Linked DNA regions of Rhinolophus ferrumequinum. The protein of the gene in region 3 interacts with the protein of the main gene of each other region in a pairwise test. Links are inferred from orthologs where the notes say so. Each region holds a gene or a part of one and is shown on either strand. Other genes may lie near its edges. The genes, in order: SERTAD1, KLF17, CIB3 and MEOX2.

Region 1 (7,770 bases), on a different chromosome or scaffold from region 3:
TGCTTGGTAGATTTAGACTCCCCAGCCACCTGGAGAAACTGAGTCAGGTCAATTACCTGTCAAAGGATGGGACTTTTTTTCCCCCCTTCTTCCACCTCCCCTATCCCCCCCACTACGGTTCAATCTGTTTCTCAGTCTAGTTGTGTAGGACACAGCTCCCTGGCCCATGCTGGTATTGTGAGCCTTGTGCTCCCTGACCCCCCCCCCCGCCCCCACTGAAGCAGTTGGTCGCCAGTCGTCTGGCCACTCACAGCAGCTCCTGGCAGCTCTGGCTGGCTGCTGCGGCCGCCTCACCGTGGCACACAGTAGCCCGAGGCAGCCCACCGCAGCTTAGGCCAACCTCCCGGTGCTCACGGCTGCCCAACAGCTCCAGGGAGAGCTGTTGTTCACAATCTTAGCTGTAGAGGGCGCAGCTCACTGGCCCACGTGGGAATCGAACCCACGACATTCTGCATTAGGAGCGCAGAGCTCCAACCACCTGAGCCACCAGGTTGGCCCAGGATAGGACTTTCTGACAGTTAAAATTTTGTCAACCCTTTCATTTGTATAAAATGTGCTGCTGAACCCCAGAGGAGAAAAATGCCCAAAGATTCCCAGTGCTGAATGGTTTTTCAGAAAACCAGGTTAGGAAGTAGAGCCAGGCTAAAGTTATGGTTTTTAACTATTTGGTAGGTACAAACCCAGGCTGGTGAGAGTGAGGGGAAAAGAGAAGAGAGGCTAGGGAAGATACAATGTGATAACATTGCTGCTGAACTGGCTATGTTTCCACAAACACTTGAGGACATGGCAGCAGGTGACTACGCATTAGGGACTTTTCTGGAAGCGTTGCAAGGAGGAACCACACCTTGGCATAGTCCACAGGCAGGGAAAGGAGGGGGATTTTGCCTGTGCTTTCTGGCTCAAAGCCAGATTCTCACCCTTAGAGGGGCATTGCATTGAAGTCTGAAAGCAGTGGGGTAACTTAACAGGTAGGTGCCAATCAAGAAAGAGGAGGTGGTACAGAGGATCTCAAGAAGGCACAGAAGTTCCGCATCTCAATATGGATGCCCACTGGATCGTGTCTTTTTCCTACTTAAAACTTACAGTGACTTCTCCTACTCAATAAAATCCCAACTTCACCAAGGCCTTTGAGACCTGATAGTCTTGTTCCTCAGTTTAGTCTCCCACTGTCCCTTACTCGCCTCCAGCCACATTGGTCTCCTTTGACCCCAACCTAATTTTGTCCCTGGGGCCTTTCCACTTGCTGTTAACTCCCCAGAAGACATTTCCCCCACAGCTTCACCAATCCAACTCTCCCCTTCTCAGTGGCCTTCCCTGCCTTTCCGAGCTCAACATGTCCAGATGCACTACCACCCCTGTTTGATTAATCACATTCTGTTTGATTTTCATAGTAGCACCTATTCAAGCTCAAATTATTACCTTTTTATGGTTGCCTCTTGGTTTATTGGAAACTGAGAGGAAGGGGTTTCGTCGGTCTTAGCCCAGCTGTATCCCCCAGTGAGTAGAACTATGCATGGCACAGGTGGGCACTCAAAAAAAAGTCCATTTTTGCTATTGTTGAAAAAATGAACTCCTGATCTCACCATGGCCAACCCTCCCTGCCACCTCTCTGTACTCATCTCCCCCATACTCCTTCGCTCCCATGCTCCAGCCACACTATTCTCTGCCATCCTTCAAATACACCAGCATGTCCCAACATCAAGACGTGGAGTATTACCTGCCTCATTAAGCGACTGTGCAAAGTGTGTAAAAGGGGGCCTAATGCACACTGAGGATTCCAATAATTGCTCGAATTTACTGAGTGCTTACTGTGGGCCTGGCACTCTTCCATGCATGTGAGTAAAACAGTTCCTGCTCTCATATAGCATCATAGTGGGGGGAGGCTGAAATAAACACAAAAGGTAAGTAACAAATGCTGTAGAGAAAAAGAAAGCAGGAATGTGATGAGGGGGTGTCGCTATGTAGATGGAATGGCTAAAGAAGGCCTCAGTGACAAGGTGACATTGGAATAAAGACCTGAAGGAGGTGAGAAGTGAGCCAAATGAATCTGTGGGGGACATCCTGGCAGAGGGAACAGCCAGGGTGAAGGCTCCGACGTGTGGAGCATTTGAGAGAGGGTGTGGAGGTCAGTGTGGCTGGAGCAGAGTGAGCAAGAGGGAAGAGTACTAGGAGGAGGTGAAAGTGCTGAGGGGTCTAAATCATGTAAGGTCTAAGGGAGTCCCACAGGGAGGACCTGAACTCCACGCTGAGTGAAATGGTAGCCATAGGAGGGTGTTGAGCAGAGTGTGTGGGGGGGGCAAGACCTGACTCCCGTTTAAATAGGCTCTCCTTAACTGCTCTAAAGATAACCACAGTGAGGCCAGTATGAGGAGCACCCCCACTTTCCAGATGAAGAAACTGAGGCTCAGAGAGAGCGAGCTCCTGCCGTGTTCAAGAACTGGCGAGAGAAGTGGAAAGGCTGGCACGGCAGAGAGAACTGGGTCCCGAGGGCAGAGTCCACGTTCCCCAACCTGCCCTCCCGCGCTGTCCTTCGGTGGAGGATGGGCCGCGGCCACCTAAGGGCATAGGCAGGGAGGCCCCGTCTCTCCCCGCTGCCCACCCACCGCCCTGGGCTCGCTCTGGGCGGGATACCCGGAGGCGGCGGCAGTCGGGAGCCGGCCCGGCGCCTCCTCCCTCCCCAGAGGCCGGGTGGGGCAGCCGGCTAGGGCGGGGCGCTCCCCCATCCCCCTCCCTTCTCAGCTGGCTGAGGCTCCTCCCCAGGACTGCTGGGCCCGGTAGCTTCGCTACTAGTTTCACTTCCTAAAGCCCGGCCTCTTTCCTTCTCCCTTCCCCCAGCTCTTTGAATTTCAGGATCCTTCTCCACTTTCTGGTCTCAGCTTCAAAGTCACCTCCACGGGACCACCCTGGCTACAGATACTTCTCCCCAAGCCTCTCTATTAACCCCATCCTATTTTGTTTTCTTCAAGTCACTGAACGGAGGCAGAGATTATCTTCCTCATTTATTAATCTTCCAGGGTCTTCTCATCCCACTCAGAATGAAAAACAAAGGTCCGTAGAGTACTCAGAAGGGCCTAAAAACGTCTCTGACCTGCTCCCGACAGCATACAGACCAACTACACGGGCCTCCAGCACACGCCCACAACCCGGCCTTCACATTGGCCCTTCCTTCTGGCTGGACCCTTCCTCACTACCTCTCTCATTTCACCAAGTCTCTACTCCATGTCACCTCTTTTCATATTTCTTTTCTTTCCACCCCTCCCCTAATCCATAAGAAGTGAGACCCTGTGAGGTTTATCCAGTATACCCCATCATTTACAACAGTGTACACCACCTAGTAGGCGGTCAATAAATTCTTGTACATGTTAATCAAATGACTCTTGTGAGCTCTTCCATGTACGACGTGGAGCAAGCCTCTTGGAGACTGTGCTTCCTTTTCCTGGCCAACAAGATAGGCTGTGGGGGAAATAATTTGAATTTTCCTAGCATGGGCCTGGCTCTAATGATCATTTTACCCTCTTTTTATTATGAAAGATTTCTAGCACTTAGAAAAGATGAAGAAATATTCCATATTTAATTCCAAATGCATAATAGACGCTGCAAAACTGTCATTTGCTGGAGGGAGCATTTGAGATCTTGCTTCCCAGCATGTTGTCGGTTTGGCTCACATAAACTCATAAAAATTATCTACAGGTTTGAACATTCTTACATTGACAATATGTACCACATCCTCTTTATCCATTCGTCTATCGATGGAAACCTAGGTTGCTCCGATATTTTGGCAATTATAAATAATGCTGCATAGTATAGTTTGCACTTTTTGAGCACTTACTTTGGCCAGGAGTGTTATTCACAACTAACAGTTCTTCCCACAGCTCCAGCAGAGTTAGCAAATGATCTACTCTACTTGAAGAAGGTAAGTCCCATTTTCAGTCTATCAGACAAGTATTAAACTCCTGTCTACTTATACCCCATCCCACGTGCTCCCCCTTGAACTAAGTGCCTGTTCTATCACTACAACAGCTATTACTACTAACAAAAGGACACATTGTGCACCACTCTGAGCATTTTGCACAAATTATTCAATTTAATCCTTAAATCAATCTTCTGCACCAGATGCTATCTCCATTTTAATAAAGATGAGGAAACCGAGACTCTAAGGGACTAAAACCTTTGCTCAAGGTCACTCAGCTACTTAGGGAATGGCGCCCAATATACGACCCCAGTGGCATCCCCCCACTCTCATCTTTTGACTCCCACCTTTGAGTCCAACTGCCCAAAATTTGCCGAGTCTAGTATAGTGCTCTTACGGATGCGATCTTATTTTAATTTTCCTAACTCAAGAGGTAGGCAAGAAGATCCCCATTTAATAGACTTCGTGTGGTTAAGAGGTCAAGCGTTTTTCTAGGGTCACACATCAAGTGAGTGATGAGTCAGAATTTGAACCCAGGCCTATCTGGCCTAGAGTGTAGACCCCTGTTGGGGCTGGGTGTGTAAGAAGCTCAATTGCTAAGTTTGGCAAGCGCATGCGTTGGTGTGAGTGGCCTGCACCTTGATAAGCAAAAACCCCCTCCCTGCCACAACCTACCAGAGCAAAGAGCCACCCTACCTTCTACTCTACCCTTACGCAGGAGCCCGGGCATGCGCCCTGAATACAACCTTCCCTCCCTTCGAACCTGCCCCCTACAGGCTCCTCCCATAACCGTCCAGGGCCAATCCCTGGGTGTAGGGCGGGGCCGCTACGGTAGTGGGCGGTAGCTAAGAGGAGTCAGGAGCCTGGAGTCGTGCGCTGGAGTCAGAACTACGTCTCGCGACCCAGGCGCCGGTTGCCGAAGGAGAGCTAGCAAGTGATGCTGCCGCCGCCGCTTCCTGATTGGCTGCGGGTGGCTCCCTCTTCGTTCTGATTGGCAGCTGGTGAACTGGGTATGTAAATGAAGGAAAGGGGCCTAGGGAATGAAGGGGTACCGGCGGCTTAGTCTTTGGCAGGTTCGATCCCCGCGCCCGGCAGGTGCGTGCCGGGACGGACCGGGATCGAGAAGCGCGGGCCTCTAAATGCCGCCCGCCTTGGCCGGGCCGGGTGAATCACGCCGCAGCCCGGGAAGGGGGCGGAGGCGCCGGCTCTCTGGCTCCGGCTGCGTGACTCACCCGCCCCCGCCGCCGCTTCGGGAGGCGCCGCCTCCACTGCCTTCCGGTAGCGAGCGGAGGCCGAGAGGGCAAAGCAGCCCACGGGATCCTGGCCTGCACTGCCCTGGCAGGCAGGCAGGAACGACAGCCAGGACGGGGGGCGGTGTACAGGGTCCTGGGGTCTGAGGGGCTGGAATCCCCGGGGGAAGGCCCGCTTGGGGCCACTAGGGGGCGCGGGGACAGGGGGGCGGAGTTAGAGTGGGGGTGGGGGCTGAATTCCTGCGGTTCCGGACTCTCGGGTCTACGGGGAAGGAGACGAGGACCCAGTTCTGAGTAGTATGAGGGGTCACTGTTAAGGTCCTACTGGGTAAGGGTCCGGGGACTGGACCGTGCAGGCTGTCTTCCTCAAAAAAAAAGCTTGGGCCAGTGGTCTAGAACTCCAGGGACCCCCCCACATCCCGCCCGAAGGAAAGTGTGGGTCCTCAAAGTTTTCTCAGTGATTCCCGTGCCCATCAGGATTTCCCGGCAAGCTCTGTCTACTCTGCCTCCCAAATAAATCCTGAATCGACCAACTTCCTTCCATGTCCACTACCACCCTCTACTCCAAGCCACCGTCATTGCTCCAAAGAGTGCAGTAGTCTCTCCGAATAGATCTCCCCCTTCTCCCTACACCCCCGACCACCATCCTCGAAGTAGCCAAGGAGGAGCTTCTGGAAACCTAATCAGTTCACAGCACCACTCCCCTTCCTGCTGAAAACTCCTGAATGACTTCCCACCACACTCAATAAAATCCAAACTCCTTGCCTCTGCCTATTCTCCACCCTTCCCACCCCCCTGCCCCCACCTTGCCACTCTGTGCGCTGACCACACTGGTCTTTTTTTTTTTTTTTAAGGTATAATTGGCACACACTAGCCTTTTTTCAGTACAGGCTCATCCTGCCTCCAACTCTTGTTTTGCCTTTGCTGTGGTTCTCTCTTCTAGGATTGCTTTCCCCTCGTTCTTCTATGGCTGACTCCTTCTCATGCTTGAGAGCTTAACTCAAATGTTATCTCCTCTGAGGAGCCTTCCCTGACCACTCCCCAGAACCTTTTAGTATCTTCCTAACACCATCTGTACATTTCCTGTATTTGTTTATTGTCTGATGCATAGTACATACTCAATAAACTTAGATTAAACTATGTGAAACAGCTGCTTTTATAGGTTAAAAAAGTTGAATACTGGACAATTCACATGGTTCATTGAAGAAATATAATACTTAATAATAATAGTGCTTATGAATAAGAGTAATTGCTATGTACCAGGCACTGTTGTAGTGGTTTTTGGATATTATCTCATATATTCCTTAAAACAACTCTAGGAAGTAGACTATTATCATTCATATAGTAAAGGTTCTCTAAGAAAGCCTAGGTTCAGAGAGGATAAGTGACTTGCCCAAGATCATACAGGCAGCAGTAGTCAGACCAGGGTTTGAACTTGACATTGGCTTTCCGTAACTCAAGAACTTGTCTCCCCACAGATGATGCTGAGCAAGGGCCTGAAGCGCAAGAGGGAGGAGGAGGAGGAGGAGAAGGAAGCCCTGGCAGTGGACGCCTGGTGGCTGGATCCCAGCCACCCAGCAGTGGCACAGGCACCCCCGGCCGTGGCCTCCAGTTCCCTCTTTGACCTTTCAGTGCTCAAGCTTCATCACAGTCTGCGGCAGAGTGAGCCAGACTTGCGGCACCTGGTGCTGGTAGTGAACACGCTGCGGCGCATCCAGGCATCCATGGTGCCCACAGCCTCCCTGCCACCTGTGCCTAGTGTGCCTGCAGCCCCTGGCATGGCTGACAACTTGCTGGCTAGTTCAGACGCTGCCCTCTCAGCCTCCATGGCCAGCCTCCTGGAGGACCTCAGTCATATCGAGGGTTTAAGCCAGGCCCCCCAGCCCTTGGCAGACGAGGGGCCACCTGGCCGCCCCACGGGGGGAGCCCCCCCTGGCCTGGGTGCCTTGGACTTGTTGGGCCCAGCTACTGGCTGTCTTCTGGACGATGGGCTCGAGGGCCTGTTTGAGGACATTGACACTTCCATGTATGACAGTGAACTTTGGGCACCAGCCTCTGAGGGCCTCAAACCTGGGCCTGAGGATGGGCCGGTCAAGGAACAAGCCCCGGAGCTGGATGAGGCTGAGCTGGACTACCTCATGGATGTGCTGGTGGGCACACAGGCACTGGAGCGGCCACCAGGGCCGGGGCGCTGACCCCAGGGCTGGGATGTTTATCTGGTGACCAAACAGCCTGGTGGCTGAAACAACTGTCCTTGGAAAGACATGGCTGGCTCCTCTAGAACAGAAAGGGATGCTTCAGAGAGACAGTCAGTCCCTGGCAGCTTCACCTCCGTCCCCTTGTCTCAGGCTGATGGGAGGAGTCTGGGATCAGTCCTCCATGGACTATAGGGCCTGGTGGCTGGAATGTGATTGGACGAGGCCCAGTGCTGGACTGACTCCCCGGAGGTCTTAGCCTGGGATACTCTCTCCCAGATGTGGGAAGAGACCCCAACCAGTTTTATGAAATTAAAAACCAGGTCTGGTAAATATTAAGTCTGTGTGCTTCTTTGTCTCTGGGTTAAGGCGAGGGTGAGACAATAACCTCTAATATTGATTGACCGTGGACTGT
Region 2 (7,379 bases), on a different chromosome or scaffold from region 3:
GTGCGAATGTAAATTGGTACAGTCAGTATGGAAACAGTATGGAGATTCCTCAAAAAAATAAAAATAGAACTACCATATGATCCAGCAATTCTATTTCTGGGTATTTATCTGAAGGAAAAGCAAATACTAATTCTCGAAAAGCTATATGCACCCTCAGGTTCATTGCTGCATTATTTACGATACTGCAGCAATGAACATGAGGGTGTGCAACAGGGAAGCAACTTAAGTGTCCATCGATGGATGACTGGATAAAGAAAATGTTGGATACATATATACAATGGAATATTATTCGCCCATAAAAAAGAAGGAAATCTTGCCATTCACAACAACATGGATGGATCTTGAGGGCATTATGTTAAGTGAAACAAGTCAGACGGAGAAAGATAAATACTGTATGATCTCACTTATATGTGGAATCTAAAACAAAACACTGAACTCACACTGAGAACAAATTGGTTGTTGTCAGAGGTAGGTGGTGGGTATGGGTGAAATGAGTGAAGGTGGTCAAAAGGTGCAAACTTCTAGTTATAAGATAAATAGGGGGGTGGTAGATGACGGTAAAGGGGATCCAATATATGGTGATGGAAAGAGAACTGACTCTGGGCGGTGAACACACAATGTGACATATAGACGATGTAATACAGAATTGTACACCTGAAATCTATGTAACTTTACTAACAATTGTCACCCCAATAAACTTTAATTAAAAAAAAAAGATAAATAAGTTCCGGGGTTGTAATGTACAGCATGGTGACTATAGTTAATAATACTGTATTGTATATTTGAAAGTCACTGAGAAATCTTAAAGTTTTCATCACAACAACAGCAGAAAAATGTAACTGTGGTGTTGGATGTTAACTAGACTTATTGTGGTGATCATTTCACAAAATATACAAATATCAAATCCTTATGTATGTGTGCACCTGAAACGAATACAATGTTGTATGTCAATTATAGCTCAATAGAAAATAAAGAAAAAAATCCCACAAAAATTGGTACAAGTTTACATTAGCATACTTTTATTACGGACCATTTAATAAACATTGTATTTTGCATAGAAGTTAATTTGGAGAATGCCGTTTTTTGGTCGCCCGAACACACACAGACTCAGCCACATATGTTTGGAGCTGACTTTAGGCACAGGTCATACCGCCAACCCCGGTGTTATTAGTTCTCCCTGCATTTACACAGTAGCTTCAGAACAAACAATCATGATTTACAGTCAGTGATTATAAAGGCAAAGAGATAGAACTTGACTTATTTCAATTCTGTCATTCAATGTAACCATTTGGAGTTTTGGGTAAAAACAGTGAAACAGTGCAAAATGAGAGGCAAAATATTTTCGTTTGGTTAAGTGCCAATTTTAGTTCATAGATGAACTATTTTACTGGATTTAAATCATACTTTTAAAATGGAAATTATTCTTTAAATATTGTTAGTTGTTTTAAAATGAAAGATAAATCAGGAAAATAATAAATGTTATGTCAGTGGTACAGTTCAGCAGTTTTGTGAACTAAAATTCACTTTAGTTATTGGCGGATCATTTACATAGGATATTATATCAGTCTACAACTAAAGGATCAAAGTTCAAACAATTAGATAGATGTGGAAATAAATAGTTGTACTTTTTTCATTTTCTGAACCATAATACTAATTGTTTTATTTATTTTACTGGCATGAATATACATATAAAACTTTGTAAAAGAAAATTTTTCACTTCTACATTTCTTTTCTGGCCATTATTATTATTCATTTCATTTCCTAATCATTTGCAAATATTAAATTTGAATTATGAAAATAGTTTTATCCTATAGAAGAGTGGTGTGTTAAAAAATGATCTGCTCCATGTATCAAATATGATTCATTCCACAAATATTTTCTTAGTGCTGTGACGGGAGGAAACACTAGGTGCATGGTAACTGGAAGAGGCATCAAATGGAAATCAGACATGGTCCATAGAGGTGATACCTGAGCAGGTATTCTCCATAGAAGCAGAGCCACTATTTCTCAAGGACCTGCTCTCAGCCCCAACCCATGCTAGTAGCTAGAGACACTAAGGTACTTAAGACTCTTGTTACCCAACCTGTTACAATAGAGCAAATGTCCCTGCATTCACCAAAGGCCCACTTGTCTATTTGTACCCTGAGTCCTGTCCTTTTGTACCCTGAGTCCTGTCCTTTTTTGACTTATCAGTGTTGCTCCTATAATTTTTCTCTCTCTCTCTCTCTCTGCTTCGGTATTGGTTTCTTTTTATTGGTGGATCCCCGTCAGCCTCCCTTAATCCCCATTCCAACTACCACCTCATTTCTCTGGCCCCATTCATAGAAAAACATCTTTGAAAGAGTTGATTATAGTGTCTCAGTATCTCCATCTCAGCAGCACCTACCTGTTTTCTTTTCCCCACTCCAGTTAACTTCTATCTCCTCTGTAACTGTTTTTGTCAAAGTCGCCAAAGACCTCCATCTTGCCAAATCCAATAGGCACTCACCTGGTTCTTAGCAACATTTGATGCAGTCGAACAGTCCCTTTTTTTTTTTTTTTAAGATTTTATTGGAGAAGGGGAACAGGACTTTATTGGGGAACAGTGTGTACTTCCAGGATTTTTTCCAAGTCAGGTTGTTGTCCTTTCAGTCTTAGTTGTGGAGGGTGCAGTTCAGCTCCAGGTCCAGTTGCTGTTGTTAGTTGCAGGGGGTGCAGCCCACTGTCCCTTGTGGGAGTCGATCCCGCAACCTTGTGGTTGAGAGCCCACGGGCCCATGTGGGAATCGAACCGGCAGCCTTCGGAGTTAGGAGCACGGAGCTCCAACCGCCTGAGCCACCAGGCCCGCCCAACAAGTCCCTTTTTTTAAATACAGGCATGTTGAAATATGTATCCACTCTAATGGCCTTATAACCACCATGTCTAATGCTGTAAACACCTAAACTTACATTTACAGTTCTAGCCTCTCCCTGAGGATATTTAGTAGCCATCTCAAAACCAACGTATCTAAAATGGAATTCTTATTTCAGCTGCTTCCAAAGCTCTTCCCATATTTCCATATCCCCATTGGTGCAGTCATCACTCAGTTGCTCAAGCCAATAATCTAGGAATCATGTTTGATGCCTCTTTTCCTCCCAGCCCTTTCCCATTCCAACCCATTATTAAGTCCTATCTCATTTAATGTAAAAATATTCTCTAATCACCATCACCAACCTCCACCAAATACTGACATATTTTTTGGCGAGATTCTTTTGCTTTCTAATTCGTGTTCCTGCTTCCATCTTGTCCCCTATAATCCATAAACCTCAAAGTAACCCAATGACTATTTCAAAAACTTAGATCACATCAGTTTCCTGCTTAATATCCTTCAGTGGCTTCCTATCACTTAGAATAAAATCCGAACTACCAGCCAGGATCTTCAACACCCTGCCCGTCTCGATCCTCAGCTCATTCTTCTCTCCTGCCTGCACATATCACCGAGGTCGCCTGGGCGTCCTGATTTCCCTCTGGCACGGCAACCAAGTTCTTTCTTGCCCTAGATCCCTCCAATCTTCCTATGCATGACTCCTTTTAGGCCCTTAGTTCTCAGCTCACATTTCAATATTATGTTTTTTTCCATAGTACTGGCCACCATTTATAATTATTGACTTGATTAAATTCATTTGTCTGCTCATTTAGGATGAAAATTCCTGAGAGCAAGGACTTTATTCTGTCTTGTTTGCCATTGTATCCCTAGTTCCAAATCACAGAGCCCATCACGATAGGTACTGGATAAGTATGGTAGAATAAAGACATTGTACCACGGAGCTCCCAGTCTTGGGTTTGTACAAGGGACAGAGAGGTACCTGGCAAAGAAGATCCAGGCCTCTGGGAGCTTATGACAAGAGCCGTAATCTGGTGGGCTGGTAGTGGAGGCTCTCCTGTCTGCAGAGATCCTACACCCCATCTGCCATTCTCTCCAGCCTCCTTCCCCATTTCTCCACTCAAGAGATCAACAAAGCCTGGCTGGAACTCTGAAACCTCGGGTCCCCACCCCCATTTGGGCCAAGCAGAAATGCTTAGGCTTAAGGGTGGATGGGGAGGTAGGATGGGATAGACCTAACACTTATGGAGTGGTCAAGGTAAGCGGTCCTGTTAGTGGCCCTGCTGAGTCTGGACAGGCTGAACCCGGCAGGGTGGGGCAGCCTCCGCTGGGTGGGTCGAAGGGTGCGGCCTTTGGCTCCGCCCCCCCAGCGCGGCGGGAAGTAGAAGCCGAGCGCCGTGATTGTGGCGTGGAGGTGCAGCGACAACTGACCTGCGACGCCGTGGCGGCGGGGCTCAGCTCTCCTCGGATGTGGTTTGGACCCGCACACAGTCCCGAGGTGCTGTGGATCCCAGGCTGAGATGGAGCAGAAGGCCCAAGGGCTGAGCCACTGGCCGGCAGCTCAGCACCAGTTCTCAGAGGTGGGGCGGGCGTCAGCCCCAGGGCAGGGCGTGGGGGCTGGAGTAACGAGGCTGCGGGAGTGGAGGGAAGCAGACCCCTGGGCATTAGGAGTTGAAGGAAGAGGTTGGGAGGGATGGGAGATCGAGGACCGAAATCGTGTGTCGTTTATCGAATTAATACTCACCGAGCCTAAGTAAGAGCCTGTGTCGGGCGCTGGGCGTGAAAAGGTCCCAGGAGAGGGATCTGAGTACTGAGGAAAGGAGACAAAAGTTAGGAAGTTAGCGGGAAACGGGTAGGAGGAAAAAATTAAATATTTATTGGAGCCCTTCTAAGTGGTAGGCCTTTGCCAGACCCTGGGAATACAACGGTGAGTTTACCATAAGACACTATACCATTTTATTGATAAATAGCTTAATGATTAGCAGTACAAATTGTTGTGATGGAGAAGTACAGGGGCCACGGGAGCAAATAGAGATGTTTAATCTGATTTAGGAGGCCAAGAAGACAGCTACGGATTTGGTCTGGGACTGGAGAACTGGTTCGGTGAAGGGTTTGTGGGTCCTGAGACCAGAGACAGGATACCGCTACCTTGGAGAAAGTGAAAGATGGACTATGGGACTGAAGGCCAAGAGAGTGACGGGAGAGTGGCCCAAGGGGAGGGGAGGCAGGGACCCCCGCACCATCGCGGTCGTGCGGGGCTTGAGTTGGTCATTCCAAGAGCAGTAGGAAGCCATTGATGAGTTTAACCATGATCAGTCACAATTAGATTTGAATTTTTTTTAACCTAGATTTAAATGTTTTTAAAAGAGTCCCCTGGCGAATGTGGGCAGAATTACAGGCAATAGTTAGAACGCCGTGTGATAATCCGAGCAGGAATTAAGATGGCGGCCCCACAGAGAGGTGAGAGTGGAGATGGAAATCCTGGAGATGTTTTGGAGGTAGACTCTACAATGTGGTGATTACGTGGATCTAGGTGGTGAGGCACACCCAGGACAACAGATTTCTAGCCTGTACAATCAAGTGAGAATAGTGGTGACATCTGAGAGCGGAAAAAGATGAGAAGAAACAGGATTAATAGATTAACCCCCCCAACCCCCCACCCCGGGGGTGGGTTGGGAGGGGTGCAAGGACGCTCCTGTGTATTGGACAGTCCAAAGTGACTGTGGCTATTCAAACGGACTGAGCATTAAGTAACTGGAAGATTCAGGAGAGGTCTGCCCTGGAGCATCGATTTAAGAATAATTGGAATGTAAACAGAAATGGATCATTAGCATGAGAAAGATTGCCCGAGAGTAGCTTAAGGAAAACCTGCAAAGGAAAAGGAGGGCTGGAGAGAAGGGAAGGAGAAAAACTAGGCAAGAGCGTCATTGTGTTCCTGAGGCCAAGGGAAAGAACCATTTCAAGAAGAGTGACTTCCCAACCTCAGAAGCTCCTGAGAGGTCCAGCAAAGAGGAGTCTGGCAAGGTTTTGGACTTAGTGACAGGGAAGTCATCGGTGACCTATATTTGGGCTGGTTCTGTGGAGAGATGGGGCCCTGAGTGAATTTGGGGGAATAATAAGGCCAAGGTAGTGGTGAAGGTGTGTTTCGCCATCTCCAAAGATTTTTACCTATGAAGGATCAGGCAAATAAAAGAGGGCCATTACTGAGAGGGAGGGAAAAGGGGCTGAGCACCCCAGAAATACCCATCTAAAAGACATTTGAGGGCTATAGTGTGCCTACTTTACGCTAGATGCTGAGCATATAATGGTGAATAAAACAGGATTTCCCCAACCCTTCTAGGATTTAAAAAAAATTGTTTTCCCTCCATAGTCAAAACATTATCAAACCTATCAAAATTAGTGATAATCTCTTAATACATCTTAGATGCAATTATTATTCAAATTCCCCTAGTTGTTCCTAAAATGTCCTTTAGAGCTGATATGTTCAAACCAGGATCCAATTTAAGACCACACACTGCATCTGCTTATTACGTCCGTTGGGTCTCTTTGAAATTAGAATAGTTTTCTTTTTTCCTGACTGACTTTCTTTTTTCATGATCCTAATTTTTTTCTTATAGACTCCATTTTCTGGATTTACCAGATTGCTTTTTCATGATGTAATTTAGCTTGATCATCTATCTCTTGTATTATCTCTTAGAGTGAGATCTTAAAGCTTAATTGGGTTCCTGATTTTTGGTAAGACTGCCTCATAGGTACAGTAGGCTTCATCTTGCATTACATCAGAAGACTCATCTGGCTCCCCACAATTTGGTGACACTAGGCTTGGTCCTTAAATTAAGGTCGCAAAAACCCTGTTGGTCTCTATTCAAATTTATTTTTAGGCTTGCTGTCAGAAAGTAATCTGTGTAATGTTACCTTGGCTGCATCCAAATGATCAGTTCCCCAGCAATCATTCAGCTACTGGTTTCAACCAAATATTTTTTCCTTGATCAAAAGTTTTTTTAGGGGTTGTAAAATAATGATTTTCTAATTCTACCATTCCTTCTACATTTATTAGTTTGTATTCTTCTGTAAACTACTGGAATTAGTTGGTGATTTTGAAATAACAGTTTCCTACTGGAAAGACAGAATAAATACGAAATTCTTTCACTTCAGTTCACAATGGCTGACACTGGGATAATAGCTTACCCTTTGTCACTTTTGGATCGTGAGTTTTCAGATTCAATCTATTAAAATCAACAATCATTGTTCTTTTTGATTCTCAAATTTTCACAAATTTGGCCAGTGGGGACCCCTTCTGTGTCCTTTTAAAAAACATTTTTAAAAATTGTGGTAAGATCTACATAACATAAAAATATCATTATAACCATGTTTAAGTGTATGGTGGCATTAATCATATTCACATTATTGGGCAACTGTCACCACCATCCATCTCCAGAATTTTTTTCATCTTCCCAAACTGAAACTCCTTAACCATTAAACTGACTTCCGAATCTCCTCTCCATCCCCCAGTTGCTGGCAATCACCATTTTACTTT
Region 3 (7,025 bases):
ATCAATTCCTTCTCCCCAAAACTTTCTCCACTCGGCTCCTAAGGATACACACTCTCCTGATTTTCCTCCTTCCCATGATCCTTTGCAATTTCTTCTCTGCCACCTTCTAATCACCAGAGGTCAGACCTTATACCTTTTCTCTGTCACTGTTGCTCCTCAGAGGAGGTCATCCAGTTCTACAGCAACTCCCCGATGTTTATCTGGGGCTCAGATCTCTCCACTAAACTGCAGATTCAGAAATCAAACGCTCCACGAGAATTCTCCACTTGGATTACTAAAAGGGACCTCAAAGTTGACTTCTCTAAAACCAAGGTCTTGATCCCTCCCTTTAGAAACCTGCTTCACCCACAGTCCTTCCTATCTCAGTAAATGGCACCTTCCTTCACCCAGCTTCTCCTGCCCAAAATCTTGGTCATCCTTGATTCTTCTTTCCCAGCCCACACGCAACACGCAATCCATCAGCTGATCCTGCTGTCCTTCCTTCCAAATCTATCCCAAATTCGATACCTTCCATAGCTTCCACTATTACTGCCCACCTCTAAGAAGCCACTATTAATCGCACTGTAGGTTGCATTAGCCTCTTCCCCACTCCATTCCTGCTCCAGGAGTTATAGCCCAAGCCTGCCTCTGATTATAACTGTGGGAAGGGACTTAAGTACATTCACTTGTTAAATCCTCACCAAAAACTTACGAGGTAGGGACTTAAGCCCCACTTTCCTGATGAAGAAACTGAGGTGTGGGAGCTTAGCCAACTTGCCCAGAGTTACACCACCAAGACTGGAACCCAAAAGACAGTGCTTCTCATCTCTCTCTCTCTCTCTCTCTCTCTCTCTCTGTACTACTGAATTAAGCCTGAGAGCAATAAGTACAATTTTCCCCATGTCACTTGACGGCATCACCCAGACCAAGATTAGAGTTTTTCAGCCTGGTGCTTTGACATTTTGGGTACTGCGTTCTTCCCTGTAGGGGCACTATCTTGAGCACTGCAGAATGTTGAGTAGCATTCTGACCTCCACCCACTAGATGCTAGCAGCTCCCCTCCTGAGTTATGACAAAGAAAAATGTCTCCAAACATTGCCAAATGTCTTCTTGGGAAGGGAAGTAGGGGGACAAAATGGCCCTCAGTTGAGACCTATTAGTCCCTCCCCCCAGCGTAACGGGCCAAGCTTATCTAACGTTGCCCCCTCCTATGCCCCACCACCCACATTTATCGATATTTAGAAAAATAACAGACACTTAAAAACAACATATTTGAATCTGCCAACGAAGTCGTCACGGGAACAGAGTTTGTGGACACTTACAGCAGGGAGCACGACCATTTAACATCAACAGCTAACATCAACTGAGCAATGACTTTATACCAGACCTAGTGACAAATGCTTTACATGCCATCACAAAGCTCCCATTCCTTTTAGGAAAAAGTACGTATCTTGACCCCTACAGATGAGGAAACTGGGGCACGGAAAGAAGATGAGTCACTGGCCCAGTGTCACAGGGCAAAGGAGCGACAAACCCGGTCTCCAGCTCTGGCTCCTTTCAACGCCATCTCTAGCTCTCCCCTCTGCTGTCCCCTCGGGCTGAAGGTCCTTCCCGTTGTCCGAGCTCCCTCAGACGCGGACTCTTCCTCTTGCTCAGCATCTTTCCCCCGGAATTAAGATCATTTCTGACCGCTCGCCCTCCTCCAAGCATCCCGGGACTGTCCCGGTTCCGAGTCTCCGGGCTTTTCCTAAGCACCCACCCCGGAGACCCAGGCCCGCGGCGCGGGGCATCCCCAGCCTTTCCACCCGCCTCACCCGCTTCTCCTGCATCTTCTCGAAGGCCGCCTGGGCCGGGGTCCGCTTGTCCAGACCGCGCCGCTTCTCCTCCTCGTTCTTTTTGCTCGTTCCCATCGCTTCCAGGAGTTTCGCCTGGTCTTTGTCCTTCTTTTTCTTCTTCCTGGGAGGGAAAACAGAAGATGGAGTGAGGGCGGCCAGAGAGCAAGAGCCCGGGGTGTCGGAAAAAGGCTTACGGGGCAGACGATGGGCTTTCGGGACTCACCGCTTGGTCACGCCGACCTCTGCAACGCCTTTCAGCTTCAAGGGCCCCTTTTGGACCTGCTCGTAGGACGCCATGACGCCTGTCTGCAGTTCGCCAGGTAAACTGCCACACTTCCTGTTCACTGTTTCCGGAAGAACGCCTGCCTCCCTTGGTCTTGAGTGGCCCAGCTAGGCGTTGCGCATGCGTCCTTGGCCACACTTCCGGGTTGAGGGCTGAGCCTGCAGAGTCAGGCGCTATGGGCCACTCTGCACCCTGTGCCACACTTCCGGCTTTGGGCCCCACTTATGGTTTCTCCGCTTTTGGGTTCCTCTAGACAATTGAAACCAATTTGACAAACTCCAATTCTTAACACCCAACGCTTTTTTGAGTGTTTTGCATGTATTTGGATAGCCTGTTCTTTTTTATTGCCATATTTTGACGGTTCAATGGTTAATACGCATTTTAATTTGTACTGTTGCCCAAATTGTACCAGGGACTTGGGCAGGGTGGTGGTGGGAAAGGTAGGGGATGAAGGAGGTAGAAAAAGCAAGCATCCCCAAATCTAGACGACACTGGACCAAGGAGGGCTCGGTGCCTGCATTTCCCAGTTCTACCTGCAGGGGGCAGCAAGCGGCTGCCCAATTCTCCAGCCAAAGTCTCACCTTTTAGCATTTCAGAATTGGATGAGAATGCCAACAGAGAACCATGGGGGACTGCCAGCCTGTGCCAGCTTCCTCATGGGTCCATCCATGGTAGAATCAACTCCTCAGAGAGGGACACAGGAGAAACTCAAGTGGAGAAATCTCTTCTCCCCAGCCAACCCAGCAATTTTGGAGCTCGTCTACAGCGCTTCCAAGACTGTGTGCCCTGGAGCAAGTGGCTTGAAGTCTTTGAGCTTCCCTTTCCTCATAAAATGGGGGTGATGAAAACAACAGCTAATACTTTATATGGATTTACATGGATCATCTCATTTACTCTCACAGCCACCTTGTTACATAAACCATCCTGATTTTATTAGAGGAACTGAGGCACAAACTGGAATCCAACCTATGCTGAGTGTTCCATCCCTGCTTTTGTCACGACACTATGAAGCCATCCATCGTAGATGCATCAATATTTTACAAACATTTAAGACAGTATTTCTCAACCTTTTTTTCATTATCAACACCTAAAGAGAACACTTTAACTTAAATTCACTTAATAAGAAAAGTTAAATACTGATGAATAAGATTTTATCAGGGAGGGTAGAGCTTTGAAGGGCCAGAAACCATTGAAATATCTAAGGTTTTCTTGTCCCCACCCTGAACCAATTTTTTGTCTCCTTTGGGGTAATATTACTTCCACTGATAATTAATGTTCTAAGGGGAAATGTCATATGAGGTGTTTCCCATTTGAGGCTATTATGAATAAGACATTCATTACAGGTTTTTGTATGAACATAAATTTTCATTTCTCTGGGACTGCGCAAGAGTGCAAGTGCCGGGTCATATGATAGTTGCATGTTTTGTAATTTTATTTGATTGTGGCAAGAACACTTAACATGAGATCTATTGTCTTCAGAAATTGTTAAGTGTACACTACATTAATGTTGATGACAGGTACAATGTTGTACAAGTTTTTCATCTTGTTTAACTGAAACTTTATGCCCAGTGATTAATAAGTCCAATTTTTTGGTTGCATTAATGCCCTCATTAGATCTCAGAACAACTCTATGAAGTAGGTACAAAAATAATTTCCATCTTACAAAATGAGGCTCAGAGAGGTCAGGTGACTTGCCTGGGGCCACACAGCTAGTGGGTAGAGAACTAGTATTTGAGCTGGAATATGCTTGAAGCCTCTCCACCATAATGCCTGTCTCTGGAAGGTGCCCCCTCCCCCCAAGCCCACCTGGTGATGGCAGATGTGGTCTGAGGCTCTGTGACCTCCCACAGACTTTCTTCTTGCCCTGGTGGCCGTGGACATACTCAGACTGTTGGCCAGAGAGCTTGGCTGTAACTTGAGTCTCACCCAGGCTTGGGGTGATGGGGCGGGTGGGCGGGTGACAGCCAGGGCAGGGAGATTTGCCTAGACACTGGTGCGTGGCAGCCTGGCAACCGTGTGGCCCTGAGGAGCCTGGGGGCTTCAGGAGCCTGTTCCTGGCGGTGGCCTTCATCATGGGCAACAAGCAGACAGTCTTTACTCATGAGCAGCTGGAAGCGTATCAGGTGGGAGTAATGTGTGGGGCAGCTTTGGTTTCCTGGCCTGAGGAATGGGGGCAGCATCCCTTGGTCCTGGGTGGGCAGTCAGCAAGGGTTCCTGGTGCAGCTCTGTGTGTGGCATCGGCAGAGATGAGCAGGGGGAGGTGGGGAGAGGAAGCCCGGGTAGGGGCTGGGCCAAGCCAATGTCTCTCTCCCCAGGACTGTACCTTCTTCACGAGGAAGGAAATCATGAGGTCAGTCTGGGGAGGAAGGGAGGAAGACCCGGAAACAGCTTTCTATACGGTATTGGAGGATGTTTGGAATTTGACAAGGGCCAATGCTTCGTGGCAGTTAGAGAGCTAATGGTCAGTGGACAGAGGCAGAGATGGGGCGGCTGAGAAGCCACATCTGATCTTATTGTCTCGCCTGTAGGCTGACGAGCTTGGATTTTCTCCCAAGGGTGGCAGGGAGTCATGGAGAGTGTGTGAGCAGGGGAGAGACAGGTCAGCATGTTAGAAGGATCCCACCCCCCAGGCCTGTGTGAAGAGGCTGAGACTAGAGGCTGGGGGCACAGCTGCAGAGTCAAGAGGCAGCTCTGGGCTATGGGGTTGACGTCAAGGGGAGGGTACAGGGAGGCGCCCTGAGGCTGTTTCAGGTCCCTGGTGTGAGCGAGACAGACATAAATGGGTATCCCACATCATCACTTGGCCCAGGGAGCCATTGTCCAGAGGCCCTGACCCAGGAACTTGGAGCTGTGAAACCCAAGCTGGCCAGGGTTCGGCTGCAGAGTGATCGGGGCCAAGGGCCCAATTGTGTGGGCAACGGACATCCATTATTGATGGGCACACCTTTCACCAGTGAGCCCCATTGTCTGGGCGAAGACAGCTCGCAGGGTCACCCCGGCTATGATGATCGAATTACTGATGGGGAAACTGAGGCTCAGACAGGGGAGGCTGACCCCAACTCTGCAGATGGGATGAGTCCCAACGAGTTTGAGGGCGGATATTTCGTCTATCCCAAGCTTCTCGCTTGTCAGACAGACTAACTGAGGCTCAAAGGAGAAGAGGGACTTGCTCAAGGCCGTACAGCACCTCAAACTCGGGCTGTCCCTGGAGGGGACCCATCCGGTGGTCAAGACCGGATTCCAGATACTCCCTTCCTTGAGTACCTAGTCACCGTATGACCCAAAGGCTCCTGTCCCCTTCTGAGACAGTCTCTAGCAGCGTGGGGACTTCTCTATTAGGTCATCAAGGAAAATCTCTATTAGGGTGTTGCTCAGGGGCCCAATGAAGGAATGGTGTCACCAGGTGAGTGCATCATAGTTCAGAGCTGGCCTCCCAGTCGAGGTAGTGGGTATGGCATTTGGTGTTTTCCAAAATGCCTTTCAGTTACCCTTTTGAAAAGCCTGAATATTAGCCTTTGTCTCTGCTCTGCCTCATTGAGGGAATCCTGCCTCCCATTATGGAGGGGGAGAGGGAAAATGAGGAGGAGGGTCTTTAAAAACATGGTCTTGCTGACAAAGTGATGACGTCCAGAGATTCATAGGTCGGTTCAGATTCTCTCAATGCTTATTGTGAAATGATCTCGCCCTACGCACTCTCCCTTCTGTCAAGCCCATTTGCCTGGTGAGCTCCTAGTCATGCTTCCAAACCCAGCTCCAATGACCCCTCTTCCAGGAAGTCCTTCATCCTGTCTGGCTTGCTTCTCCGAGTCTGGTGTCCCCAAGCTCTGGGACTGTCTGTCTACCTTGGCTTTGTCCCCAGGGAGATAGAGGTGCCTGTGTGTTGCTCTGTGTGCCTGAAGGCTGGGCCCAGGACTGATGGCTCTTAGGGACCCAATATCCTTCAGTGTGGAGTGAGTAGCTGCAAGAGTGAGAGAAGAGGGACAAGTCCCCTCCCTCCCACCTCCCAGCACTTCCTGGTATTTCCCTCCCTACACTAGGCTCTTCTATCGCTACCAGGACCTGGCCCCCCAGCTTGTCCCCCTCGACTATACCAACTGCCCTGATGTGAAGGTGCCCTACGAGCTCATCGGCAGCATGCCTGAGCTGAAGGTATGGCCGGGTCATGGGGCAGGCAGGGGGAAAACACTAGAATTCCTTTGCTGCATGCCAATGAGGTGCAATGATTCCCATTTTGCAGACGAGAAAACTGAAGTACAGAGAGGTCAAGACACTTGTTCATGGCCATGAAGCCAGAACATGACAGAGACAGGATTCAAACCCTGGGTTGTTGGGAAGATGAGATGAGATCATGCTTAGCACAGGGTTTGTTGTATGGCAAGTACTCAGGGAACGTTAGTTCTTTTCATCGTACGAGCTGCTAATGTTCAACACATGGTTTGAAGGGGACTTGTGGAGTGAGTGACTGTGCCTAGAGATTATTGTATCACAAGGGACAAAAAGCTTACTCAAAAGGGACGCAATGGATTAGATCGCATGAGCAAAAAATCCAGAGGCAGGGCTAGCATCAGGTATGGCTGAAACCAGGGTCTCTGAGAATCTCTTTCCATCTCTCAGCTCCTAGGAAGAGGCCTCATTTTCAGGCAGTGTGTATGGCATTTGAGGTAGTGGATGGAGCCCTCAGAGGCCCCAGGTTTCCTCCTGTCAGCTCTACAACCATCAGAAAGCAGGTCCCTCCATCCCAATTTCTTCAGAAAACCTCCCAGGGCAGCCTCCAATTGGCTAGTTTGAGTCATGTGCCTATCCTAGAGCCAATCACGGTTGCCAGGTAAATGGAAGTCTCTGATTGGCCTCACCCAGGTCTTGTGGCTGCCGCTGCAGATGGAAGTGGGGTCAACACCACCCAGACCACAGGGACAGAGAGTGGAGTT
Region 4 (7,607 bases), on a different chromosome or scaffold from region 3:
TCATGGTATAGAATATATAACATAACATAGTATTTCATTATAGAACTGTCTTGCATTAGTGTACCTGTATATCTTATAGTTAGGCATGCAAAGGAGTCAATTTTCAACTGTAAAAAATTTCAATGCATACATTTATTAATGAAAATAACATACAAAGTGAGTGCAAATGAAAATGTAGGAATTGGAGGTAATTACTCCCCATGTACATCAATATAAGAAAATTTTCTTCAATAATTGGAGGCAAAACAGGTGAACAAAAGGAAGTTCAATCAGAAGTTTTTAAATTTGAAACGTAGTCAACATCTTCCTAATTTTAACACTCCCCCTACACACACATAATTAGAATTTCATAAAATGTATGTGAAAAGCAAGTGGAATTATGGAAAAATGCATGTATTTTGAATTTTTAATTAAATCAGTCATAATCTGTATTTCATTCCAGTTTTCTGAAAATTATTTCCTACATGGCACTTGAACTGAATTGAAGAAAATCACCAACTTCTGAAAGAAATCATATATCTAAAAGTAGGAAGAGATAGAATTATAAAAATAAAATATGTTAGATATTATTTTACACTTTCAGAAGTCATGTTTAAGTATTCATTTCTTGTAGTATATATAGAAACACAACAATTTTTTTGTGAAAACAATTAGTGTTATGTAAAAAGTGTTATTTAAAAATCAGAACAGTATATAGAATCACTAAATAACCTGCATTAGCCATAGCAAAATTGTTCTTCAAATTTTATAATGCATAATTCACGGAGAAAGGCAATTTCCTAGTTTTAAAAAGAGGAGTGTATCATAAATCATATAAATTATTGGGTATTTAGCATCTATTAATATTTTCAAAATTCTTTATTTCATAAAAACCAGTTCAAGGGCATGTTATTTCTTCGAGAAATATAGCAGAAATAATATTTTTATCCTCAGCAAAACCTTCAGAGACAAATTCCAGCTTCAATTTAATTTTCCATACTTAAATTTATATATTATGACTGTATTTTACCTAGGCAAATTTAGCAGGTAAAATGCAAAGTAAAGTTTATAATATCTGTAGCTAATGATCATATTTAATTTTAAATATTTTATTACCATCATACCTCATGTCAAATGAACAGAAGAATGGCAACTCAAAAGAATCATGATTCTGAAAATAAAATTTAAACAAAGTTTTCACATTGCTTAAGCTCTATTACACTTCAAGTAATTTTAATTAAAAATATCTTTGCATTATTATTGAATATCACTTCATTCAAACAGAAGAAATAATAGGTATGTGTGTTTATCAAATTTAAAGAGCATGTGTTTAAAGTAATTTTGATTATGTTTCTTACAAAAGATGAGCAACTTACATTTTTCATATATTCACCCTCTTGTTATAATGTGCTGCTTGATATCAAACCTTGCATAAAATACTGTTATTAATAGAATATTTTTCAGGAAAATTCAAGTATATTTTACATATATGATCAATACTATATTATATATAGTTTAAAATTAATGCTATGTAAATTCTATAATAAATTTTGTGATTTTTACCATTGTTCATGATATAGGTGAAAAAGCAACTTTCAACATCAGATTTTGTTGATGTGGACCCTAAAGTAGCTTTATAGGAAATGCTAGGGATTTTTCCTGTTATTGTATTTTTCAAAAAATTATGGTATAGAAAATAAAATCAGTGTTTTATTGTATTCCAATAATCCTAAGCAATGAAAATTTGGGGGGAAAAAAAACTTATGAGGTGATTAATATATACTTGGAAATTCAGAGGAAAAAAAGTCATATTAATTTTGGAGTGTATCAAGAACTCTTTTTTAGTCCTTTCTCCTTTGAATCACATTTTTTTCTCTTCCAAATAACATTTTCCTTATATTATGCTTTTTATTAGAAATATGGACTCCATAATTTCACTGATATTATATATTTTGGGTCTTCAATTAGAAAGACTATTCCTGTTAGCTTTATTTTAATGTGTGCCTTTTACAGAGACTCTTCCCTTTCTAATCTTTTCTACTTTTTTTTTTCCTCTCCCATACTTCTAGCCCCACAGTTCCAGAGGCTGACTGACTAAGGCATGCTGTACAGAAATTTCTGGACATGTTGTTAACATCTGACACAGTGAGTGAGAAAAAAGCCAGCAAAGTCACCAGGCAGGTTCAAGAAAAAGAGGCAGCTTCTGGAGATGAAAAGTTTGTGTGTTTTTGCTAGTTGCTAGTTACCTGCAACACACTGGGTAAATTCAAATCCATTCACTTCTCAATTGCTTGCTTTCTCTAAACCACTATAATGCAAACCAAAAGGACCTTTATGGGTGTTTTTTATTGATGTCTGCAGATCAAGTGTATCTTTAGTCTTGCCTGACATTTTCCACAATGCTTTTAGTAGACAGCACTGTATTATGTAAATATTTCTGGTTACTGTTTATGGAGGTGGTTGCCTAAATTTCTCTCTGGATAAAGCCTTTAATGCTTTCACCCAGAATCCATGGAGGAGCCATCCGAGTTTGGGAAGTTTAGTGTTGCCCTTTGTACTTCAACTTTTAATATCAGGGCACATATTGAAACCATAAACACAATGAAAATTCAAAAAATATTCCGACAATATTAGAAGAATATACCCCCTCCTTTTTTATCCTTAAAGAGCCAAGGGCATGGGGAGTGGCAGGAAGAAACATTCTTAAGATCTAAGCTCTGGACGCCATCCTGTGAGTGCTTAAAACCCTTAGAAACGTGCAACCTGAAGAACACCCCCTTTCGAAGTCTAAAACAATATTAGATTCCCAAAATATCGGCAAAGAAAGTCTTACCGTCAAATGCTTGCAGCAGGTTCCAGCTCAGACCCAGACTGAAAAGCTGAGCAGCTGGTGAACAAAAGTTTTAGCTTTTTTTTTTTTTTTTTTTTTAACGAAGTCTGCAAAACTAATTTCCCTCAAAATAGGGCTCAATTTCCGTTAAAGAAAGCAGCACTTACAAATCTCAGAATTCCTGATCACCCCCTCCCTGTCCCACCTCTAAGCCATGGAAAACAATTCGAACTTTCACACGAATGTAAAGGTTTATTGCGAAGCCACTATTCTGCTGTACGACTTAAAAGAAAAGGGAGATAGACTGAAAGCCTGAGGGACTGGGCGAGGGAAAAGGTCCTGCCTTGGGAACACTTCTCAAAGATTAATCAATACTTTTGCCCTAATTCAAAACAGATGGCCGGCCTAGTTTGCTGTCCCCATTAACCCCATTAACAACTTCAAAGACCTGTTCCCCATCCTCGGGACACCAGAGACAATGAAAATAAGGAGGCGACGCTGCTGGTGGCACATTCACATTCCGGGTCTTGGGCGGGATAGGTGAGCACGGATATTCTCCTGATGCGACCTGTCCCAGGCAGGACTCGACTGTTCCTGCAGCTCGTTACCGGGGCTTGCTTGCCTCGTGTAAAGGACTCTGCCCCCAGCAGACAATGTCGCCTCTCAAGTGGCAGAATCAAAGTCCAGCTGTCGCTCGCGCTAATTCATTGGTGGCAAGTTTTCTAACTCATTTTCTATGATGCAAGATTAACCAGGTAGATATAAAATTCCCAATTTACTGAACTTAAGGGAGGCGGGGGCTATCAAAATGTAATATTTCTCAGTAAATGGAACCACGACCAGAGCCGGAGAGGGGCAAGGGGTGCTATCAGCTGATTTATTTTTGACCGGAGAGGGTGGATTTCTGGAGGTATATGATGGGACATGGGCTGGCTCCTAAGGGGAAAGATTGGAAATGTGCGTGCAATATACACATCTCATGTGACCGGGACGAAGTCGCTTTGGAATATTCCTGACCCAGGGACAGTTCTTAGTGGACACGTGACTAGGAAATTCACCGGGACCAGGAAAGCAGGGGACAAGGCATTTGAGGTAAGCAGGGGAGAAGAGACCCCACCTGGCACCGCAGGTGACACTGCCAGAGCCTGGACATCTGCAGCTGTCCTGCCCGGTGCTACCTACCCCCCAATCCCCGCCGCCAATAGATCTCTCCTTTCCGCATTCAGAATGGCTATTTCCCGCCCGCCGGGCACATCCCTGCAACTTCGGATCTGGTGTCCGAACCCATTATCAACGCACCCACAAACACCACCTGCAAAAAGTTAGGCGCGCCACTGCGCCCAGGACATGAGGAAACGCGAAGCCAAACTAGCTCCCTTTCGTGCTCCTCAAGAGCTAGGCGTAACCCTATCTTTCCCGCAGGTGACAGTGTCCAAGTGGCACTGACAAGACACCTTTACTGAGAGAAGCGAGCGCGCTGGGCACCGGGTGAGGGGCTGTGGCTGGCGTGCACCGCCGCGCGCCTTTGCCGCCCGCGCCGGGGGAGGCGAGCCGCTGCCCCGCGGCTCGGGTTCAGGCGCCCGGCGCGCCGCTTGCACGCCTGGCGGCCGACAGGGGCGGGCGGGCGTGGACTCGCTGAGTGAGTCCAGCGGGTTAGGAAGTGGAACTGGGAGCGCGTGGCTCTCAGACTGAGCCGGAGTTTTGGAGGGAGTTTGCATGTGGTCAGCGCTGGGCTCCTAAGCCAGCCCCCAGCTCACATTACACTCTATTTATAACCTCTCAGAGCCGTTTCCCCCTGAAAGCAGTTCTCTGGGACCACCTTCTTTTGGCTTCAACCTCTCCTACTCTTGACATCTGAGTAGCTCAGAGGGAAGCTCCTTCAGGTCAGAGTGTTTATATGTAAAGGAGACTGGCCACTAGGGCTCAGGACCGGGATTATCAGAGCTCTGCAGAAACGCGGGCGGCTATTGCTCTGGGAGGGGGAAAAGTCACACGGTGTCCAGTGAAAAGTGACAGAAGGTGGTGGCGTTTGGAACCGTCGTGAAGTCTTCTGCCTGGAACCCGAGACTTGCATGCTATGGAACACCCGCTCTTTGGCTGCCTGCGCAGCCCTCACGCCACCGCGCAAGGCTTGCACCCGTTCTCCCAGTCCTCTCTCGCCCTCCATGGAAGATCTGACCATATGTCCTATCCCGAGCTCTCCACTTCTTCCTCGTCTTGCATAATCGCGGGATACCCCAACGAGGAGGGCATGTTCGCCAGCCAACATCACAGGGGCCACCACCACCACCATCATCACCATCACCACCACCACCAGCAGCAGCAGCACCAAGCTCTGCAAACCAACTGGCACCTCCCGCAGATGTCCTCCCCCCCGAGCGCGGCTCGGCACAGTCTCTGCCTCCAGCCGGACTCGGGAGGGCCCCCGGAGATGGGGAGCAGCCCGCCAGTCCTGTGTTCCAACTCTTCCAGCTTGGGTTCCAGCACCCCGACCGGGGCCGCGTGCGCGCCGGGGGACTACGGCCGCCAGGCGCTGTCACCCGCGGAGGCGGAGAAGAGAAGTGGCGGCAAGAGGAAAAGCGATAGCTCAGGTAAGGGCGCGACGGGCACCTTGGGCGAAAGGGGCGGAGAGATGTCCAGGAAGATTCTCTCTCAATAGTGAGGCAGCAGGAAAGACGGCGCAGGTCTTGCCCTTTCTGGCTTCCCGCCGCTAAATTCCGTGAGGCTGCTTTGGTCCTGTTATTGGGGGACACGTGTTTCTCCGAGCGCAACACTGTAGCCAACAGCAGAAACCTCTCCAAGGTTCAAAGTGGTTTACCAGAGTATTGAGAAAAGAAAAAAAAAGGACAAGTGACAGTATGTGAAATCGATTGAGAAGCGTGACTTTCCCTCTGAGCGATAGGGAGAGGAGTGCACCCTGGGATGCAGCGTTCGCTGAGCGTGCGTGCGGGTGTCGCTCCTTGACTTTTTCCCTTGCAAATTCCCGACTCTGAGTGGCTCGATTTTTCCCATCGTTAACCGGATTTCCAAATTATTGCACAATATTTGGAACTTGCAATGGAACTTGGCAGAGAGTATGAGAAAAAAAAAGTTTATTTATTTATTTATTTTTTATTTCTGATTTCAGAGTACTTTAAATAGTACCTATTCCAAATGGTAAAAATTTCCCTTTCTTGGGGAAGAAGACCTAATGTAGGAATTCAAAGGATTTTAAAGAACGTATCAGAGAATTGTAAATAAATACATGCTCAGACTCTTGAAGAAAGACGAGTCTTAATAGTAATTGCATTGGTGTGGTACTAGTCTTAAGAGAGAATCTGAATTTCAAAGGTGGAAAGTGATATTCTCTTCCAATTGAGAATTATCGGAGACAAGTACTGGGAAACAAACAGCAACCCCAGTAGTGCAAGTTCGCTGCATCTCTGAGGCTGGTATTCACGGGTGCGCGCAGGAGGCGCTCATCTACGTGGGGATCAATTGAATAGCCACGCAAAAGGGGAACCTTGCTGAACGCGGATGCTTGAAGGCACAGTCGCCAAGGAAACTGTAGCAATCCAGAGAAACTAAAGTTTTCCAGGTTACTTCCGAAAAGCCCTTACCTAGGTGTCTCATTATGAAATTGTTAAAAGATGCTTCACAATTAAGGGGGTTCCGAGTTTTCTTCTGCAGCTATAGCGCAACCTGAGTTCCGTCTTTTTGGAAGGTGTCATTTGTTTAATATAGTATTTACATATTTTTCTACCTTTGCGGAATTGGTTTAACAGTCCTAGAAGGTAATTCCAAATATTGGTTTGAAGGATTGACGACATGTTTATGCTTTATAATTCTTTAGGTACGATTCCTCGTTAAATGACAATGATTCAGCCGCACATTTCAGGTTCCTTTGCAGCAATGCTATCAATTGTTCTTCACCGTTAGTTATGGGAAATCTAACTTTTACTTGCCAAGGTCAAAGGTGAACTTTTAATGCTTGACTCGCAAATTAGCTTATATCTGAGAAAGTTACCAGCGGTATCACTCATATTTAATGGTTTTTACTAACCATAAGTAAAACTCTTAAGACAAAGTTGAAAGGTTAATCATAGCAAGCAATTTTCCTTCTTCATTAGAAAATAAGTCAATTTTAGAATGTAGTGATCCTTTCATAGACTCAAAATTTGATAGCAATAAAACTGCTTTTGGAAACAGAGCCGAGTTCGGATTGGTCAGTGCACTTTTGCAATTATCAAGAAGCTCTTACTGTTCATTTTACTTTCTGCAATGAGAAATCTGTGTGATGGATTGTTCCTTCTGCTTCCTGAACTGCACCACTGTACCTAACTTTCTTAGGGCAAACTGAATTTTCATATAGACACGTGTTATTTTGGTTGGGAGGAAACAGAAAAAGTGGGATCTAAGAACTGTTTCCCTTAAATTATTTTAATAACAACTTTCTTAAGAACATTGGTTATATCAATAGTTTTGCTCTCCGTTGGTGGGAAATAACCAAATTAATATAACAATGAATAATTAGAGTACTGGAAAAATAAACAAACACAAAAGTTTGCGTCAACTACATAAAATATTAAGATTACATCTTAAGTGGGAAACACGGTTAGTTATCACCAAGGATAGAATCACTGGGGAGGAAGAATGAGTGTTTTCTTTGATGAGATATTTTGAAAGAAATTTTGACTAACTAAAAGGAAATATCACAATAGTGTCTAGTTAAAAATCTATATAATGTAAAAATATGTCTAGTTAATGAAAATAAAATTTAATTTGCAATTTCATTATTTGAGTTAATTAATATTTGTTG

Evidence for each region.
Region 1: the proteins of CIB3 (region 3) and SERTAD1 interact in binary tests that used the Homo sapiens proteins (3 or more experiments, as listed by UniProt). The two-hybrid records come from large-scale screens. The link is inferred for Rhinolophus ferrumequinum from reciprocal best matches to the Homo sapiens genes CIB3 and SERTAD1.
Region 2: the proteins of CIB3 (region 3) and KLF17 interact in binary tests that used the Homo sapiens proteins (3 or more experiments, as listed by UniProt). The two-hybrid records come from large-scale screens. The link is inferred for Rhinolophus ferrumequinum from reciprocal best matches to the Homo sapiens genes CIB3 and KLF17.
Region 4: the proteins of CIB3 (region 3) and MEOX2 interact in binary tests that used the Homo sapiens proteins (3 or more experiments, as listed by UniProt). The two-hybrid records come from large-scale screens. The link is inferred for Rhinolophus ferrumequinum from reciprocal best matches to the Homo sapiens genes CIB3 and MEOX2.

What each region holds. Positions count from the first base shown.
Region 1 is NC_046298.1:39,110,027-39,117,796, reverse strand, and holds SERTAD1 (SERTA domain-containing protein 1), read left to right. Parts: upstream 1-4,764; 5' UTR 4,765-4,920; intron 4,921-6,638; coding exon 6,639-7,355; 3' UTR 7,356-7,694; downstream 7,695-7,770. UniProt on the Homo sapiens protein: Acts at E2F-responsive promoters as coregulator to integrate signals provided by PHD- and/or bromodomain-containing transcription factors. Stimulates E2F1/TFDP1 transcriptional activity.
Region 2 is NC_046292.1:31,183,704-31,191,082, forward strand, and holds the start of KLF17 (Krueppel-like factor 17), read left to right. Parts: upstream 1-4,362; coding exon 4,363-4,422; intron 4,423-7,379. UniProt on the Homo sapiens protein: Transcription repressor that binds to the promoter of target genes and prevents their expression. Acts as a negative regulator of epithelial-mesenchymal transition and metastasis in breast cancer.
Region 3 is NC_046301.1:49,780,220-49,787,244, reverse strand, and holds the start of CIB3 (calcium and integrin-binding family member 3), read left to right. Parts: upstream 1-4,019; 5' UTR 4,020-4,169; coding exon 4,170-4,220; intron 4,221-4,412; coding exon 4,413-4,447; intron 4,448-6,134; coding exon 6,135-6,246; intron 6,247-7,025. Other genes in the region: protein FAM32A, read right to left, coding at 1,794-1,935, 2,038-2,111. UniProt on the Homo sapiens protein: Acts a an auxiliary subunit of the sensory mechanoelectrical transduction (MET) channel in hair cells. Plays a role in regulating hair cell MET channel localization and function.
Region 4 is NC_046303.1:23,143,556-23,151,162, forward strand, and holds the start of MEOX2 (homeobox protein MOX-2), read left to right. Parts: upstream 1-4,606; 5' UTR 4,607-4,886; coding exon 4,887-5,400; intron 5,401-7,607. UniProt on the Homo sapiens protein: Mesodermal transcription factor that plays a key role in somitogenesis and somitogenesis and limb muscle differentiation. Required during limb development for normal appendicular muscle formation and for the normal regulation of myogenic genes.